Pelodiscus sinensis: one gene and its partner. The protein of the gene in region 2 binds, or shares a complex with, the protein of the main gene of each other region. Links are inferred from orthologs where the notes say so. Each region holds a gene or a part of one and is shown on either strand. Other genes may lie near its edges.

Region 1 (10,054 bases), on a different chromosome or scaffold from region 2:
GTGTGCTTTGGCAGCAGCTCCCTCCCAAGAGCACTGGGCATGCCTCAGTTTCCCCGGGGCGGCCCTCAGGCCTGGATGGGATGGGAATTGGGGGTGTGACTTACTGAGCCTTGGGGTAGGGGAGCTGGGCGATGCCCTTTAGAACCTCGGCCCATCGGGGGCTCAGGCCTGGGGACGCCTTTCCCCCCGGAAGGAGCAAGGGGCCTGTCAGGAGCCTGGCGGCCAGCTGAGGGGGGCTCACGGGGAGAGCCAGGCCCAGTTTTCTCACGGGGTAAGCGCCATTCTACATTGTGTTCCAGGCAAAGCCATGGACCACGCGTCCTCTGAATGGTTCTGCTCATATGCGGAATGCATTTTGTTGTGAGCACCGAGGCATGTGGAGATGTGCACCATGCATAGAAACCCCTGCTCCCCGCCATGGGCACTGTGCCAATCAGCTTGTGGCACGAACTTCTTGTGGGCAGCCGTCCACACGCTCGGCTTACTGGGAACAGCGGTCACAGCTGATCGGGAAGTCGGGTGGCCGGGTTCTACCTTGCCAGGAGCCCCGGCTGGGCGGCCTTGCTGCGGGGAGCACAAGGGATGGACGGAGGCCAGACTCGGGGAGGGCGAAGCTGTGGAAGTTTCTTGCCCAGAGGTCAGTGGGCTCAGAGAGAGGAGGGACCACCCCTAGTCCTGCTTGGCCTCTGCCAACTGGTTTGGAGCATCGTCCCTCCACCCCTCAAGATCTGCAGACAGCTTTGGGAGGAGCATGGGGCCCCGGGGCGGGCCCCTTGGGCGTCTGTGGCGGTGGTGAGCTGCCACTCACGCACGCAGGGACTCATGAGGACACTGGTTTATTGCAAAGCAGCAGCTGCAAGAAAGCCTGGCCTTGGGGCAGAGCGCCCAGCACAGGGCGGCTGCGGGGGCCAGAGACCCTCAGCAGGGCCCTGCCACCGGCGCACCCATGGCCTGGCCCAAGCAGCCGGAAGGCCCCACTGTTAGGTGGGCTGGCCCAGCCCCAGCGCTGCTGGCTGCTCCGTCTAGGGCACAGACCGGCCCAGAAGTGCCTGGAGAGGCAGTGCTCCAGCCCCGAGGCAGGGCCCAGCTCTGATGCCCCCTGGGCTGTTCCTCACTCAGGCCACAGGCCAGGGAGCAGGGAATTAGCTGAGGGCTTGGGAGGTGCCTTCCGGAGCAACGGCAAGACTGGCAGCCACCTGCCGGCTAGGGGGCGTTTCAGTTCCAACGGCACTTGGGGCTGCCTGGCCGCTGGCGGCCTCGTAGTCCGAGATGCGACGCTGAACCAGGGAGGGCATGAGCTGCACGTAGGCCCCCATGAGGCGGTGGTTGGAGTGGACGAGCTTCCCAGCACAGCAGTCCAGACAGTTCTCCTGCTGGGACAAAGCAGATCACAGGGACCCAGCCCCACCAGGACCAGAGCCCATTCCTCCCCAAGGGCCCCTGCCACACAGCGGGCTGCCCATGGCCCGGATGAGCCAGCCTGCCAGCTGTGCGCCAGGAAGAGCTCCCCAACCCCGGTGCTGGGCCAGGGCTCACCTCTTCCCTGGTGAGTGCCCGGTAGTTCAGGTTGGAGACGCAGCGCAGGAAGCAGAGCTCCGTCATCCTGTTATAGACCAGCAGGAAATCCCGCAGCTGCAAGGAGAGCAAGGAGCTGGGTGCGACTGGCCTCCAGATCGCCCCCCCGTCCTCGCAGAGACCCCGCTTCCCCGTTGCGCAGCTGGACAGCCAGATGCCCTGCCCGACAGGGCCAAATGGCCCTGTGGACGGAGACTCGGCATAGAGTGGGCCCGTTCTCAGCAGGGCCCCGCAGAACCGGGCAGCCCCAGGTTACTGTACGCCTGTGCCGGATCCACCCCAGGGAACACACAGGCAGGGGGCACACCCCCTTGACCTGCCGGCACCCCACCGTACGCTCCCAGCGGCCCCCTCCATACACTCCCAGCGGCCCCCCGCACTGCCGGCACCCCCCTCCATACACTCCCAGCAGACCCCGCACTGCCGCCCCCCCTCCATACACTCCCAACGGCCCCCCCCTCCATACACTCCCAACGGCCCCCCCCTACACTCCCAGCGGACCCCCGCACTGCCGCCCCCCCTCCATACACTCCCAGCGCCCCCCCTCCATACACTCCCGGCGGCCCCCGCACTGCCGCCCCCCCCCATACACTCCCAACGGCCCCCCCTCCATACACTCCCAGCGGCCCCCCGCACTGCCGGCCCCCCCCTCCATACACTCCCAACGGCCCCCCCTCCATACACTCCCAACGGCCCCCCCGCACTCCCGGCGCCCCCCCTCCATACACTCCCAGCGGCCCCCCACACTGCCGGCACCCCCCCTCCATACACTCCCGGCGGCCCCCCGCACTGCCGCCCCCCTCCATACACTCCCGGCGGCCCCCCCCTCCATACACTCCCGGCGGCCCCCGCACTGCCGCCCCCCCTCCATACACTCCCAACGGCCCCCCTCCATACACTCCCAACGGCCTCCCCTCCCTACACTCCCGGCGGACCCCGCACTGCCGCCCCCCCTCCATACACTCCCAGCAGCCCCCGCACTGCCGCCCCCCCTCCATACACTCCCAGCGCCCCCCCCTCCATGCACTGCTGGCACCCCCCTCCATACACTCCCAGCGCCCCCCCCGCACTGCCGGCGCCCCCCCTCCATACACTCCCAGCGCCCCCCCCCGCACTGCCGGCGCCCCCCTCCATACACTCCCAGCGTCCCCCCCCTCCATGCACTGCTGGCACCCCCCTCCATACACTCCCAGCGCCCCCCCCGCACTGCCGGCGCCCCCCCTCCATACACTCCCAGCGCCCCCCCCGCACTGCCGGCGCCCCCCTCCATACACTGCCGGCGGCCCCCCCCTACACTCCCGGCGGCCCCCCGCACTGCCGGCACCCCCCTCCATACACTCCCAACGGCCCCCCGCGCTGCCGGCCCCCCTCCATACACTCCCAGCGCCCCCCCACACTGCTGGCCCCCCCCCGCACGCTCCCAGCCCCCTTTCCCGCACTGCCGCCCCCCCTCCCTACACTCCCGGCGGCCCCCCCCCTCCCTACACTCCCGGCGCCTCCCCCCCCTCCCTACACTCCCGGCGCCGCCCCCCCCCTCCCTACACTCCCGGCGGCCCCCCCCCTCCCTACACTCCCGGCGCCCCCCCCCCCTACACTCCCGGCGGCCCCCCCCCCCTCCCTACACTCCCGGCGGCCCCCCCCCCCTCCCTACACTCCCGGCGGCCCCCCCCCCTCCCTACACTCCCGGCGGCCCCCCCCCCTCCCTACACTCCCGGCGGCCGCCCCCCCCCCTACACTCCCGGCGCCTCCCCCCTCCCTACACTCCCGGCGGCCCCCCCCCCTCCCTACACTCCCGGCGGCCCCCCCCCCTCCCTACACTCCCGGCGCCTCCCCCCCCCACACTCCCGGCGCCCCCGCTGGCCCCGCCCCCACGCACGTTGCGAAGCTGCTGTTGCTCCCCCGCAGGCTCCATGCCCAGCCCACGTGACCAGTCCTCCGCCCGACTCTGCTTGACCTCGCTCGCACTTCCGCCCTGCGTCTGACGTCACCCTCTGCCACGCTCAGAGGACACTTTTCTGCGCATCCATTGCGTCACTTCCGGTCGCCCTCCCTCTTGTTTCCGGGTCACGTGGCACTTCATGGCGTGAGTTCCTCTTTGGCGATGGTGTCAGTTCCGCCTGTCTCTTGCGCCGCTGCCCGGCTCCTGACGTGGCTTCCGGTCTGTTCCGGCCGAGGCGGATCCACGGCCGGAGCCTCCGGCGCCGGAGCAGGTGGGGGAGGGGCCGCGCCGGGGGTCGTGGACTGGGGCAGGGGTCCATGGGGGAGGGGCGAGGGAGGGGGTCCATGGAGCTGGGGAGGGGGAGGAGCTGGGCAGGGGAGGGGGTCCATGGGAGAGGGGCGAGGGAGGGGGTCCATGGAGCTGGGGAGGGGGAGGAGCTGGGCAGGGGGCAGGGGAGGGGGTCCTTGGGAGAGGGGCGAGGGAGGGGGTCCATGGAGCTGGGGAGGGGGAGGAGGGGGGCAGGGGAGGGGGTCCATGGGAGAGGGGCGAGGGAGGGGGTCCATGGAGCTGGGCAGGGGAGGGGGTCCATGGGAGAGGGGCGAGGGAGGGGGTCCATGGAGCTGGGGAGGGGAGGGGGTCCATGGGAGAGGGGCGAGGGAGGGGGTCCATGGAGCTGGGCAGGGGAGGGGGTCCATGGGAGAGGGGCGAGGGAGGGGGTCCATGGAGCTGGGCAGGGGAGGGGGTCCATGGGAGAGGGGCGAGGGAGGTGGTCCATGGAGCTGGGCAGGGGAGGGGGTCCATGGGAGAGGGGCGAGGGAGGGGGTCCATGGAGCTGGGGAGGGGGAGGAGCTGGGCAGGGGGCAGGGGAGGGGGTCCTTGGGAGAGGGGCGAGGGAGGGGGTCCATGGAGCTGGGGAGGGGAGGGGGTCCACGGGAGAGGGGCGAGGGAGGGGGTCCGTGGAGCTGGGGCTGGGCAGCGGGCCTGGGGAGGGGGAGGGTCCCTCTCTTCTCTGCTGGGGGCTTTGCCGGGTGCCGCCCCGTGGGCACTTGTGGCTGGGGCTCCACAGGGCCCAGCTCAGGGGGCCCAGCAGGGTGGGACTGGGCCTGCCTGGCTTGGCGCGGGGTCCGTTTGGCCCTGGGTGGGCCTGTGGTAAGGAGCTGGGGGCTTTGGCACCTCGGACTCTGCTCGGTTCGGTGCCTGGGGAGCAGGCTCCAGTGGCTCTGCCTGCCTGGTGCTGCAGGGAGCCGGGGGCTGATTCCCAGGGCTCGCTGCCCCGCCAGCCCGGTGCTGGGGTGTCCTGCTCCCCCTGCCGTGGGGCAGGCGTCCCAGGCCTGGGAGCCAGGTAACGGGAGCTGGTGCGGGCCGCCTGCTGTAGAATGTGCACTGACCGGTTGGGCTGCCTGGGCCAGCTGCTCCGGCTCAGGTGTTTTCCCAGCCTAGTCTGCCCATAGCTCCCTGCTCTGCGCAGGAGGGCTCAGCGTGTCCACGGTGGGGCCCTGCCCAGCCGGGCGCTCGCTGGGCCCAGGGTTTGTCAGGCAGAGTGCCGTGCCCGGGCAGGGGCCTGCCAGTGCTGGGGGGTCCCTCTAGCATGGTTTTCTGTAGCAGGCGGGCAGGCTGGAGGGGCCCCTTACTCTAGAGGCAGAAGCCAGCTGCAGAATGGCTCCTGCCCATGAAGCAGGGTCCCTTCTGTGGCACGAGCTCTCCTAGCTTCTGCTGCAGGGCACGGGGCACGTGCCTGGTGGCAATGGGCCAGGAGCCGCTCAGCTGCCGGGCCCAGGTGTGTCCCGCACCCTCCCCCCTGCTGCCGAGCTCAGGAGATGGCGTGAGGCAGACTGCTGCTGCCCCAAGGGGAGCGATCCCTCCACCTGTGCTGCAGGGCAACAGATGCTTCTTGGGGCTGCCCGTTCCACACGGCCTGCTCTGCGGTGGCTGGCGTGGTCTGAGTGACTGCAAATGGCAGGGAGCAAAGGGGAGATTTCTTTTCCCAGCGCAGAATGGGCCTGTGGAACTCACTAGCACAGAGCTGAGTCGGATCCAGGAAGGTCCCAGCATCTGGGTGCGGCTTCACCTCAGGGAAGCGGTACCCAGGGGAGTTGCTTGAGGACGCGGGGCTGAGACCACCCTAGGCAACGTGGGTCTGGCTGAGCCATGGTCTCTGGAGGGTGGGCAGCCCGGTGCCCGGGCAGGACACAGCTCAGGGATCGGGGTGGGGTGCAGGGGAACTCAAAGTTTTCAGCTGTGCTCTTGGGTCATACGGCTGCCCTCTGGGCTGAGTCAGAGGCCTTGTCTCTGCCGCCGCGGGCTGTCCACCCAAGGTACACAACATTGCTACGTGACTAACGCAGCGTTCTTAGGTCTGCTTCCTGCTGGGGTCAGTGGGAGAAGGCCCGGCCGTCGATTTCCCACTGTGAAGATCCCCCAGTCAGCAGACCTGAGGTCGGCTTCAGCTATGTTCTTTGTGAACTAGGCGCGACCAACGGAGCCCCCTGATTCGGTCTCTGCCCGTCAATGCCGCAGGGAGTGAAGACACCCACAGCCGCACCACTGCGTCTCCTATGAGCCTGGTGTGTGTCCCTGAACCCCTGCTGCGACGCTGCCTCTAGCCAGCAAGGCCTGCGGGCCCCTTGGCTCCCAGGGCCTGCTTTGGCCAAGAGTGGAAGAGCAGGGTGGGTCTATGGGCTTTGGCCTGCGCTGCCCTGGGTGTGCTGGGGAGGCAGAGCAGGCTTGGGAGGCTCTGGCAGCGGCTGACTCCTGGTGCCACGTATACAGGGCCCATTGTTCTCGGCCAGGCTGGCAGGTGCAGGCAGCCAAGGGGGGCCAGGAGCAGGCTCCTGAGCAGAGGCCTCCGGGGAGGAGGGAGGGAACCTGGGGCATGTTTGTTGCTGTCGCTCTGCTGTGGAGGTGCCCCGCACTCGGGAGGCCTGGAGCTGACGGAGGAGGGAGGCTGGGAGCTGCTAGTGCTGGAACACCTGAGACCCATGTGCTGCAGGCCTTGCTGGCACCAAGAGCAACGTCGGGCTGGCCCTTGCTTGGATAGCGTGTGCCCAGGCTGCTTTGGGGGGCCGGGATCCAGGGGTATAAATCAGTGCCAGTCTCTGGGATGCATTGGGACTGAGCTCCTACCTCCAGTCAGGCAGCCCCTGTGCTGCTAAGGAGGGAGAAGAGTCAACTGGAACAGAGGGGAACTATCCCATAATTGGGACCCTTCTTCCAGAGGATGTGGGGTCTCCTCCCGCATCAAGGCTGCCTCTCTGGGGAGGGAACTCCCATCAGTAGGAAGAGGCAGGTGTTAGTAATGGGGGATTTGATCGTTAGAAACATTGAGAGCTGGGTTTGCGATGACTGTGAGAACCGGATGGTCACTTGCCTGCCTGGTGCCAAGGTTGTGGATCTCTCGAGGCATCTAGACAGACTTATGTGTAGTGCTGGGGAGCAGCCAGTGGTCGTGGTACATGTAGGTACCATTGACATAGGCAAGGGTGGGAGAGAGGTTCTGGAGGACAAATTTAGGCTGCTAGGAAAGAGACTGAAATCCAGAAGCTCTATGGGGGTGTTCTCAGAAACGCTTCCAGTTCCACGCGCAGGGCCAGGTAGGCAGGCGGAGCTTCAGAATCTCAATGCGGGGATGAGACGATGGTGTAGGGAGGAGGGGTTTAGATTTATTACGAACTAGGGAAACTTTTGGGAGAGGGGGAGCCTAGACAGGAAGGATGGGCTCCACCTAAACCAAAATGGAACCAAACTGCTGGCATTTAATGGGAAAAGCCGACAGGTGCAAAGGAGCACGTGGATCAGACAGACACATCTCTTAGGGCAGGGTCTATTAATAGAGATCATAGAATACTAGGACTGGAAGGGACCTCGAGAGTCATCGAGTCCAGTCCTCTGCCTTCATGGCAGGACCAAATACTGTCTAGACCATCCCTGATAGACATTTATCTAACCTGCTCTTAAATATCCCCAGAGATGGGGATTCCACAACCTCCCTGGTGTTTGACCACCCTGACAGGAACTTTTTCCTAATGTCCAACCTAAACCTCCCCTGCTGCAGTTTAAGCCCATTGCTTCTTGTTCTATCCCCAGAGGCCAAGATGAACAATTTTTCTCCCTCCTCCTTATGACACCCTTTTAGATACCTGAAAACTGCTATCATGTCCCCCCTCAGTCTTCTCTTTTCTAAACTAAACAAACCCAATTCCTGCAGCCTTCCCTCATAGGTCATGTTCTCTAGACCTTTCAACATTCTTGTTGCTCTTCTCTGGACCCTCTCCAATTTCTCCACATCTGTCTTGAAATGCGGTGCCCAGAACTGGACACAATACTCCAATTGAGGCCTGACCAGCGCAGAGTAGCGCGGAAGAATGACTTCTCATGTCATTAGATGCTGTAAGTTCTAGTCAGGATGAGAGGATGGAATTTTGGGTCAGATCAGAGGAGACACAATCAAATGAAGAGAGTTAACACATCAGGAAATGGCAGACAGACAAATAGTGACAAATTATGAAAGCGCTTATACACAAATGCTAGAAGTCTAAATAGTAAAATGGTTGAACTGGAGTGCCTAACTTTAAAGGAGGACATTGATGTAATAGGCAACACGGAAACTTGGTGGAATGAGGACAATCAATGGGACACAGTCATACCAGGGTACAAAATATATTGGAAGGACAGAACAGGTTGTGGAATGCTAAGGGAGATTAGAGAGGCTATCAAATTAAAAAGCTCAATAATCATGGGGGATTTCAACTATCCCCATATTAACTGGGTACACGTCATCTGAGGACGGGATGCAAAAATACCATTTCTTGATACGTTATATGGCTACTTCTTGGAGTAGCTGGTTCTGGAACCCACAAGGGGACGGGTTGTTCTTGATTTAGTCCTGAGTGGAGCGCAGGATCTGGTCCAAGAAGTAAATGTAACTGGACCGCTTGGAAATAGTGACCATAATGTAATAAAATGTCATATTCCTGTGGTGGGAAGAACACCTCAGCAGCCCAACACTGTGACATTTCGTTTCAAGAAGGGGAACTGCACACAAACGTGGAGGTTAGTTAAACAGAAATTAAAAAGTCCAGTGACAAAAGTAAAATCCCTGCAAGCTGCAAGGACATTGTTCAAAGACACCATAAGAGAGGCCCAACTCTGATGTAGCCCCCAAATTAAAAAGCACAGTAAGAGAACCAAAAAAAGTGCCACCGTGGGCTTCACAAGCAGGTCATAGAAGAACTGAGAAATAAAAAGGCATCGTTTAAAAAGTGGAAGTTAAATCCTGGTGAGGAAAATAGGAGCATAAACATTGTCAAATGAAGTGTAAAAATATACTAAGAGGAGCCATAAAGGAGTTTGAAGAACAGCGAGCAGGCTGGGAATGGGCGACGGGGGAGGGATCACTGGACAATTCCCTGCTCTGTTCACTCCCTCTGGGGCACCTGGCGCTGGCCACTGTGAGCCGACAGACACTGGGCTGGATGGGCCTTTGGTCCGACCCAGCATGGCCGCTCTGATCTTATTGGTGCAGATGGCTGCTCTCAAGGGTGGGTATCCAGGAGGGGGGATAAATCGGTGCCCATCCCTGTGGGTGCCGTTAGGGCTGAGCCCCGGGGTGCTTCTGGCTGCTTTCAGGGGCCAGTATCCAGGGGATGGGTGCTGTTGGGATGTCCAGCTGACACAGCCTTGGGAGCAGCCAGGGGAACGATCTCCAGAGAGTGAGGCCACACACAGGCTGCTGGCATCTTAGCACCCCTTTTTCCCAGGCCCTGAAGATGACAGACGGGCTCATGAGTAAAGCGGCCACCATGGAGATCCCCATCAACGGCCGTGGAGATACAGGCAGCCTGCCGGAGGACGATGGCCTGGAACAGGTACGCAGATGGGCACTGATGGCACTTAGGGGTACCTTGGGGGGGGGGGGCAGGTTAGATGATCACATTGGGGGGTAGCTCCAGACTGCAGGAGCCTGGAGGTAGGAGGTGCCAGGCGGGAGGGCGTGTTGGGGTGAGAGGTGTTGTGCCGAGGGGAGGGGAGGGGCTGGGCTGGGGGGCGTGTCGGGCGGAGGGGAGGGGCTGGCCAAGGTAGTGAGATTGGGGTGAATGCACGGCCTTGGGGGGGCGGGGCAGTGTCACCGTGTCTCAGAGGTGGCCAGGCAGGACTCTGGGGCAGCCCCTCTTTTCTCTGAGCCCCGTGACCCCAGACTGCGCAGTCTGACCAGGCTCCTGGGGACAGGCTCCTGCAGCCCAGCCCCGCCCCCGCCGCGTCCAGCCGGCAGGTCAGAGGGGAGGGGTGGCGGGTGCCAAGCCACAGCATAGGACTGCTTGTCCATGCAGGAGCCAGATCTACTCAGTTGAGAGCAGCTGGGGGGCTGGCCAAGACTGACCCACCAGCAGCCGAACGGCCCGTCCCTCCTCTGGGCTTTGTGCTGTACCCTGGGCTCAGGGTCTGAAGGGGCAGCCCTAGCCCATGTGCCGGCAGCTGCAGCAGCACCCACCGATGCCCAGCAGTCCCCCACGGCCCCCTGTGGCATTTCAAAGCGGCAGCGCT
Region 2 (9,403 bases):
TCGGGGGCACCCGCAGCACCTTCCCAGCACGCTAGCCCCATGGGAGATGTGAGGGGCTTCCCTCCTCTCCTCCACCCCATTGCCCTGTTTGCCCTGTGGGGACACTCACCTCTCTGGCCAGAGCACCGCTGGCCCCCTCAGCTCCAGCCCCTTGCTCCTCAGACACCTGCCTCTCTGGCTTGGCCCCGGCAGCCCCCTCCTGGGGTTCAGGCTCAGCCCCTCCTACTGCTGCCTTCTCCTCTGCCCCAGCCCCTTGCCCCTCTGCTCCAGCCCCAATATCCCCAGCCTCACCACCCTGCTTAGCATCATTCCCAGAATCCTTTGCTCCCCCGGCCTCACTGCTCTGTTTAGCATCGCTCCCAGAATCCTTTGCTCCCCCGGCCTCACTGCTCTGCTTAGCATCGCTCCCAGAATCCTTTGCTCCCCCGGCCTCACTGCTCTGCTTAGCATCGCTCCCAGAATCCTTTGCTCCCCCGGCCTCACTGCTCTGCTTAGTATCGCTCCCAGAATCCTTTGCTCCCCCAGCCTCACTGCTCTGCTTAGCATCGCTCCCAGAATCCTTTGCTCCCCCGGCCTCACTGCTCTGCTTAGCATCGCTCCCAGAATCCTTTGCTCCCCCGGCCTCACTGCTCTGCTTAGCATCGCTCCCAGAATCCGTTGCTCCATTGGCCTCTATGCCCCCCTTTGTATTACTCCCAGAATCCCCTGCTGCCCCAGCCTCAGCACCCTGCTTAGCATCACTCCCAGAATCCCCTGCTGCCCCAGACTCAGGATCCTGCTTAGCATCACTCCCAGAATCCCCTGCTTCCCTGGCCTCACCCTGCTTAGCATCACTCCCAGAATCCCCTGCTTTCCCCTTTTCCCCCAGCCCATCCTTGCCCCCCGCTGCCTCCACCCCTTCAGCCTCCTTGGCCGTGGCCCCGGGCTCCTCTGCCATCAGTGCAGGGTTGGGGGTGGCTTCCTGCGCCTCCATCTCTGGAAGGAGACAAGAAGCATGTGGTCAAATGGAGGCAGCAGGGATCCAGACTGGGGCTGTGAATGGCCCTTGACAGACCTGTCCAGGGACTGGCCTCCCAGCCTCCCCGGGCTCTGTCCACCCCTGCCCCAAGCCCCACCCTTGGCATGGCTGGGGTAGGAGGCGGCGGGTTGCCCTCTGCTGACCATTCCTTGGCATAGTGGGGCCCTACCTAACTTCCAGGGCAGTTCTTTGCCGGGGATGGGGAACACTGATTAGGGCACCTTGGGGTGGGGTGGGAATGGGGGCAGACAGAGCCCCTGGTGTGGGGGAGCCGGAGGGAGTCCCTGCAATGGAGGGTTACACCCAGGGACCATGCGCAGGGGAATGGAGGGTGCCAGGCGCCCCGGGATCCTGCAGCGAGTTTGACTCACATCAGCGAGGTGAGGCTCTGCAGTAAATACCCCAGGACCTTCCTAGGCCCAGGGGAAGTGGCCAGGGAGGCCAGTGGGGTGGGCTGTGCTGACAACCTGCTCGGGCAGGATGGTGGCCAGGCTGGGTACTGGCCCTTTAAAGCAAGGGGGGGCACTTCCCCATCACTGAGTAAACAATCCCTAGGGCCTGGAACAGGCCTCTGACTCAGGCACCAAACGTGCAGGGGGGGGGGGGTGTCTTAGGAGGGGACAAGGGACCCCCCTCAGCAGCTAAATATACCCCTGACATTTACCTCTCTGCCAGACCCAGGCAACAAGGGATTTGCCAACTGCTGCCCCAAATACTCCCCCCATAGTAAACTGCCTGCAACCCCAAGCTTCCCCCAGTTCTGCTTGTGCCCCACCACCCTGCCCCACCATTCCTTGCTAGCCCAGCCCCAGGCTCACCCCAGCTTTGCCAGTGCCCCACAATTCCCACCTGTTGCTACCTACTAGCCCAGCCCTGAGCTCCGCCCGACTCTGCCAGTGCCCCACAATCCTGCCCTCCATCCCCTGCTAGCTCAGCCCCAGACTGTCCCCCAGCTTTGCCAGTGCCCCACAGCCCCGGTTATTCCAGGCCTGGGCTCCCACGACCTGCCTTTGATACAGATGGTCTCCCCCAGTGCCTGGGGAAGGGAAGAGGGATCGGGGGTGTTTCCAGGGCATCCTAAGCCAGGGCAGGGGGTGTCTCCAGCCCACCCAGCTCCCCTACTGGAGGGGTTTATTCAATGCCCCACCCCTCCGGCCCTCCCTGGAGTCAGGGTGCTGGGCAGGGCTGCACCCACCTGCCGGCTGCTCCGTGGGACAGGCTGGTTCTGGGCTCAGTCCCGTCTGTCCTGCGCTTTGTGTTACAGCTCTTTGGAGCAGCACGGCCTATTTTTACCAGGAGGGAACAGGTGCCACTTTCATTCATGCTCCTTCACCCTGCCAGCTCCTCTGCCCCCTCCCCTAATGGCAGGGGGGATCCACTCTCCCAGAGTGACCCCCCCCAGAGGAGCTTGACAGGTTATGGGGGGATCCCACTTGGCAGGGGACCTTCAGGTGGCAAATGGGAAAGTGGGCCACAGGGGACCCCACCCCAACTACAATAGGAACCCCTCCCCCATGCCAGGGTGCTGCCAGCTGTCCAGCTTGGCACCAGAGCTGGAGCTAACAGAGCCATGGGGTCACCCTGCTCCCAGGGGTCTCTTTCCCACTGGGGTGTGGGCCAGGGGGCTGTCGTCACCCCTCCCCCCAGTACTGTCATTACTTAGGCAGCTCTGCCACCCTGTGGCCAGGCCTAGGAATTACAGGTGCACCCCTAGGTGGGTGACCATAGCAGAGTCCTCAGTCCCTCCCAAACCCGTGAGATACAGGTACTTCACTGCTGGATTTGGGGGTTACTTCCCACTGCACAGGCGGGACTCAGTTTTCCAGCCAATCAGGAAGGAGACTCTCCCCCTTCCCCGTAACTGGGGAACATCCAGGCCACCCAGGGTAGCACAACTGGTCTCTATCCTCAAGGGCAGGCAGCTCTGGGGCCTGGCTCACCAGCCTGGCCAGATGCTGGGGCTGAGACACTGTTGTGCGAGATGGTCATAAATGGGGCAGAAGGAAAAGACAGGGCAGGTTCCACCCAATCCAGTGCCCAGGCAGCTCCCTCTGCAGCTGTTACCTGCCTTCCCCTGGCATCTATGGCTTAGCCATACCCGATGCCTCCCTCCTAAAGGCAAAGGCTGCATGCTCTCGAGCAGTGTTTCCCAAATGGTGTTCCACGGAACCCCGGGGTTCCCCGAAGTAAAAATAAGGGTTCCGCACGAAAATTCCATTCCAATAACATTTTCTTATTAAAAAAATAATATTGAAGCATTTATTAATTTTATTGACAACAATTTTCATTTGTGTTTGCCACAATAAGTGTCCCTGTGTAATGCCAGCTTAGCCAGAGAGTGGGGATGATGACGTCACTAGTCAGTGCTGATGTCCATCTATTAGACTGTTATTAGGGATTCTGCAAAATTCTTTTGAGTTTAAAAGGGTTCCATGGCTAAATTAAATTGGGAAATGCTGCTCTGGTGGGTAGAGCTGGGAACTGGGAGTCAGGAGAACTGGGTTCAGTCCTGATTCTGAACTTGGGCGAGTCTCTGCCCCTGTTTCCCCATGTGTAATACAGGGGCGGGGCACGACAAAGCAGGTGCACACACTGCCAAGGACGAGCTGCCTGGCTCTGTATTTAGTACAAGGCTCTGACCATCGCTGGCTCAGAGGCCAACAGCAGCTGTTAGGAGGACACAGAGTCCCATGCATTTGTTAATGGCAGGCAGGTGGTAAGGCTGGCAGCCAGGCTAGGGCATGTACTTATGAAATGTATGGGGCTTGATCGGACAGATCCTACCTCAGCTCCACTGGCGGTGGGGTCCACACTATAGTGTTGCTCTTTCTCTCTGGGGCCTATGGCGAGAGGTGTTGCCTGCCTGGGCTCAAAGGGAGAGAGGGGCTGATGGTGCCCGACACAATGGTACTGGCTGTGCCCAGGCTCCGGAGGCTCTGCTCCTGGCCTGATCCGCCTCCGTGGACAGGGGACTCTGGGAGCCTATGGCAAATAACGTCACAGCCCCACCCTCAGCCGGCCCCCTATGTACTCACCCCATGACCCCCTCCCCACAGCCTGTGTCACCCCACAGCCCGACAGGCCTCCACTGCAATCACCCTCGCCCCATAACCCCTCCCCGCAGCCTGTGTCACCACACAGCCCGACAGGCCCCACTGCAATCACCCCCACCCTATAACCCCTCCCCACAGCCTGTCACCCCACAGCCCGACAGCCCCCACTGCAATCACCCCCACCCTATAACCCCTCCCCACAGCCTGTGTCACCCCACAGCCCGACAGCCCCCACTGCAATCACCCCCACCCCATAACCCCTTCCCACAGCCTGTGTCACCCCACAGCCCGACAGGCCCCACCGCAATCACCCCCACCCCATAACCCCTCCCCACAGCCTGTGTCACCCCACAGCCCGACAGGCCCCACCGCAATCACCCCCACCCCATAACCCCTCCCCACAGCCTGTGTCACCCCACAGCCCGACAGGCCCCACTGCAATCACCCCCACCCCATAACCCCGCCCCACAGCCTGTGTCACCCCACAGCCCGCAGCCCCCACTGCAATCACCCCCACCCTATAACCCCTCCCCACAGCCTGTGTCACCCCACAGCCCGACAGCCCCCACTGCAATCACCCCCACCCTATAACCCCTCCCCACAGCCTGTCACCCCACAGCCCGACAGCCCCCACTGCAATCACCCCCACCCTATAACCCCTCCCCACAGCCTGTCACCCCACAGCCCGACAGCCCCCACTGCAATCACCCCCACCCCATAACCCCGCCCCACAGCCTGTGTCACCCCACAGCCCGCAGCCCCCACTGCAATCACCCCCACCCTATAACCCCTCCCCACAGCCTGTGTCACCCCACAGCCCGACAGCCCCCACCGCAATCACCCCCACCCTATAACCCCTCCCCACAGCCTGTCACCCCACAGCCCGACAGCCCCCACTGCAATCACCCCCACCCCATAACCCCGCCCCACAGCCTGTGTCACCCCACAGCCCGCAGCCCCCACTGCAATCACCCCCATTCAACCCCCCACTCTCCCAGCCGGTCCCATCCCTGCTGTCCCTGAAGCCCCGGGGGATCCCAACCTGCCCGCTTTTGGGGGCCTCTCTCCCTCCCCTGCGCCCCACCAAGGGGCTGAACCCCTGCAACGCCCACCCCCCACCGGACGGGGGCACTGCTCCTTCAGCTACGCTAGGCTCATTAGACCTCCCGGCTTGTCTAGCAACAACTAGCACTCTATGGTAACATGGCTGCGCCCATTCTCCCGCCTCACATCCGGTACGTTCTAGCCTCGGTCCTCCACCAGCTCTATGCTCTAATTGGGTTCCCCTCCTTCCCCTGGAGTCCCGGCACATCTCTATGGTTTGCAGCGGGCCCCTCTCGCCTCCTGCCCCTTCCCTCTCGCTCTCTGGCGGGTCACTCTGCGGAAGCGGAGTCCTCCACAAGCCGGAAGTGGGCGCCCCGCGTCTGACTCTATGGTACCACGGAGGAGAGAGGGGGGGGCCCATCGTACCGGAAGTACCTGTTCCCCGCATGTTTCCGGTTGGCGGCGGGGGGAACGTCACGTTACTGTGCAGCGTGGGGAGGGGAAAGGGGCTGCTGACCCCTGACCTCTGACCCCGGGGCTCAGCGACTCCTCCCCACGAGGAGCGCGCAGGGTGAGAGGGGCTCGGGGCTGCCCCTAGTCGGGGGGGGGGGGGTCAGGGACTTGCCCCCCCGCTGCATTGGCTGGGGCACATCGGCCCGGGGGGTTACAAGGGGGTATCATGGGGGGCGGGGTATCATGGGGGGCACATGGGGGGCGGGGCCCGCACGTGGGGGGTACATGGGGGGCAGGGTATCATGGGGGGCACATGGGGGGCGGGGCCCGCACGTGGGGGGTACATGGGGGGCAGGGTATCATGGGGGGCACATGGGGGGCGGCGCCTGCACGTGGGGGGTACATGGGGGGCGGGGTATCATGGGGGGCACATGGGGGGCGGCGCCTGCACGTGGGGGGTACATGGGGGGCGGGGTATCATGGGGGGCACATGGGGGGCGGCGCCTGCACGTGGGGGGTACATGGGGGCGGGGTATTGTGGGGGGCACACGGGGGCGGGGCCTGCACGTGGGGGGTTCATGGGGGGCGGGGTATTGTGGGGGCCACACGGGGGGGGCCCGCACGGGGGGGAGGCACATGGGGGGCGGGGCCTGCACGTGGAGGGTACATGGGGGGCGGGGTATCATGGGGGGCACTCGGGGGCGGGGCCCGCACGTGGGGGGGGGGGCACGCGTGGCAGGCCTGACAGACTCTGTGTTCCCAGGAGCAGGTCACTCGGGCGCGATGGATCCGCTCCGGGCCCAGCAGCTGGCGGCCGAGCTGGAGGTGGAGATGATGGCCGACATGTACAACAGGTAACGGCCCCTCATCACAGCGCCCTCCCCCCCCCCGGCATGCTGCGGGGGGTCACAGATTTGAAAGCCGGCAGGGGCCCTCTAAATTGGGGAGAGACCAAGAAAGAGGCACGAGAATGACTGAAGGGCTAGAAAACCTGCCTTCCAGTGATCGTCGAGGAGCTCAGTTCGCGTAGGGCAGTGGTTCCGAAACTTCGGCATCATACCCCCTTTTTGATTTTTGAAAAATCTCCCCCCCCCCCCCACACACAAAAAATAGCAGCAAAACTTGTTGAGAAATAAAATGATTGGGGGGAGGGATGCTGGGTCACCTCCCCACTCCTCCCCCCGGAATTTTTTCACGCCTCACCAACAGGGCATGCCCCCCAGTTTGGGAACCCATTAGGGTAACCAAGAGAAGTTTAAGTGCTGGCTGGGTCGGTTGGTAAGTACCTACATGGGAAATAGATGTTTAATAGTGGGGTTTCCTGCAAGATAGAGTCTAGCAGAGAAAGGTCTAATATGGTCCAGTAGCTGGAAGTTGGAGCTAGATACATTTAGACTGGAAATAAGGTGTGAGATTTTAATGGTGAGAGTAATTAGCCATTGGAGCAACTTCCTAGGATCGTGGTGTATTCCTCATCAGTGATGAGTTTTCAACCAAGATGGAATGTGGGTCACAATGAAGTGGAATTGGCACAGTGGTGGGTGTGCTGGAGCTGAGGACTGGAACATCAAAAGGCCACGGGTCGGGATTGAGAGGAATTGGCAGAGCTCTGAGCTGCAACAGCACGTTATTCAGGAGCACTGGCATAAATGTGGGCAGGATGTATGGAGGGAGCCCAGGATTGGGGTAGCAGGGAAGCCTGTGGGGAGGAGGCAGGACTAGGTTCACCCGGACACCTTTGGATTCTCATGCTCTCCCTCTCCTTGGTGGCCCAGAATGACCAATGCCTGTCACCGGAAGTGCGTCCCTCCCCACTACAAGGAGGCGGAGCTCTCCAAGGGGGAGTCTGTGTGCCTGGACCGCTGCGTCTCCAAGTACCTGGACATCCACGAGCGCATGGGCAAGAAACTGACAGAGCTCTCCATGCAAGATGAAGAGCTGATGAAAAGGATGCAGCAGGGGGCAGGACCGGCATAGGGACTTCCTCTTGAACATGGACAGCATGCATGATGGCCTGGCATCCTCCCTCACTGCAGCCTGGACTCACCCCTGTGCCTCCACCCCAAAATAAAACCTCTTTATGTGAGCTGGGTCTTTGCCTACAAGGACAGTTCAGAGACCTGGGGCTGTGATATACCAACTGGATGTTCTGCCCCACCCTTTTCTCTGGTGCCTTAGAATCATAGAATCATAGAATAATAGGACTGGAAGGGACCTCGAGAGGTCATCGAGTCCAGCCCCCCGCCCTCAAGGCAGGATCAAGCTCCGTCTACACCATCCCTGACAGATGTCTATCTAACCTGTTCTTAAATATCTCCAGAGAGGGAGATTCCACCACCTCCCTTGGCAATTTATTCCAATATTTGACCACCCTGACAGTTAGGAATTTTTTCCTAATGTCCAATCTAAACCTCCCCTGCTGCACTTTAAGCCCATTACTCCTTGTCCTGTCCTCAGAAACCAAGAGGAACAAATTTTCGCCTTCCTCCTTGTGACACCCTTTTAGATATTTGAAAACCGCTATCATGTCCCCCCTTAATCTTCTTTTTTCCTTTTTTCCTTGCTCCATCCCTGAGTGGATACGATCCCAGTTCTGCTCTGTCCAGCTGACCCCCCATTTACCAGGCTGCGTCTGTACTTTTACCGCTTCGTGGAAGGAATGGGTTAGTCAGGGTGGTTTCCTACAAGATAGAGTAATTGTATGGGAGGCCAGTTTGGCATCTGGCTGTTTTTTCCTCTGCCAGTACCCCAGCGTGGCTCTAGGGTGGGCAAACCTTGTAGGCATCTAAGTAGGCAAATTGTATGGCAGGCCATAAATGCTCGCTGGCCTGACCTCCTCCCAGTGGCAGATTGGCCACTGGCCCAAAGGGGTGTGCCCAGGGGCCCCTGCCAATTGGGGAGCTGCGGAAAAATGGGCGCCTCTCCGTTGCCAGCAGCTCTGACCTCCGACTCAGTGGTGGAGCTAGGAAGCAGACGGTGAAGGGGGCAAGCACCTGAGCACACTCCCTGGTGGGAGCTCCAGGGCTGGATGAAAAAGTCTGATGTGCTGGATGTGACCTGTGGGTCCTAGTTTGCTCATCCCTCCCCTAGGGGAGGTGCTCTGCTGTGGGGAAGTGTGTGTCTCTCTCTCCCTGGTGCTCTGTAACGCTCCACCCCTCTTTCGTTGTACTGATTAGTTCCTTTGGCACTTTCACTTGAGGCAGTGTGTGACGGGCAGGATCCTGATCCTGTTTGGATAACCTCCCCCACAGCCATCCTGGCACTTCCTGTCCCAAACTCCTAGTGGAAGGGTATTCCGCTTTGATCGCCTCCCACCCCAGCAGTGGCTGCAGATCCATGCCCGTGTGAAGAGCTTGCCTCCTTGGCCAACTCCTGGCAAGCACAGCTGACCGCTGTTGCTTTGTGTGTCCACCAGGGTGCCCTGCAGAGCTCGTGGATTTTAATAACCATGCTGGTCTAACAGCTCCTGGCTGTGGTACAGGTTTTACAACTCAGGATATTAATTGGGTCATTTCCTCTTCTTTGTCTCCTCATTCAGAGAGCTGACCGCAGGTTAATGACATGGCAGCTCTGTTCAGCCAGAGGCTGAATTCTCCCATCCCAGCTACTTAGAGATCAACGTTGGCTTAAAAGGCACCAGCTGGGAGTTATTTTTAATACTCCTGACTTGAGCTTTTGGAGGTTTCATTCGTGTTGGCTGCGTGGCAGGGAAAATGCCAGAGGAATGGGCTGGAATAATAGGGAGGAGTCCTGTATAAAGCCAGAAGGGGCTGCTGTGCTTCTCTTGTTTGCTGTCTTGTGTAAGGCAGATCCGAGGGCTTCCTTGAATTCCTGC

Evidence for each region.
Region 1: the proteins of TIMM10 (region 2) and TIMM10B are in contact, whole or in part, in a cryo-EM structure (PDB 7CGP), measured with the Homo sapiens proteins. The link is inferred for Pelodiscus sinensis from reciprocal best matches to the Homo sapiens genes TIMM10 and TIMM10B. Residues at the interface, in NP_036588.1 of Homo sapiens: Ala6, Leu9, Leu13, Glu16, Met17, Asp20, Met21, Arg24, Ala28, Lys32, Cys50, Asp52, Arg53, Cys54, Ser56, Lys57, Tyr58, Asp60, Ile61, His62, Glu63, Arg64, Met65, Gly66, Lys68, Leu69, Leu72, Asp76; in NP_036324.1 of Homo sapiens: Gln7, Leu11, Leu14, Arg15, Phe17, Leu18, Leu19, Tyr21, Asn22, Arg23, Met24, Thr25, Glu26, Cys28, Phe29, Val33, Pro34, Ser35, Leu36, His37, His38, Arg39, Leu41, Glu46, Leu49, His50, Ala53, Gly54, Ile57, His61.

The regions. Positions count from the first base shown.
Region 1 is NW_027466033.1:418,289-428,342, forward strand, and holds TIMM10B (mitochondrial import inner membrane translocase subunit Tim10 B), read right to left. Parts: upstream 3,610-10,054; 5' UTR 3,488-3,609; coding exon 3,452-3,487; intron 1,633-3,451; coding exon 1,537-1,632; intron 1,371-1,536; coding exon 1,143-1,370; 3' UTR 821-1,142; downstream 1-820. UniProt on the Homo sapiens protein: Component of the TIM22 complex, a complex that mediates the import and insertion of multi-pass transmembrane proteins into the mitochondrial inner membrane.
Region 2 is NC_134714.1:128,460,550-128,469,952, reverse strand, and holds TIMM10 (mitochondrial import inner membrane translocase subunit Tim10), read left to right. Parts: upstream 1-5,529; 5' UTR 5,530-5,686; intron 5,687-6,331; 5' UTR 6,332-6,351; coding exon 6,352-6,422; intron 6,423-7,343; coding exon 7,344-7,545; 3' UTR 7,546-7,654; downstream 7,655-9,403. Other genes in the region: SMTNL1 (smoothelin-like protein 1), read right to left, coding at 110-973.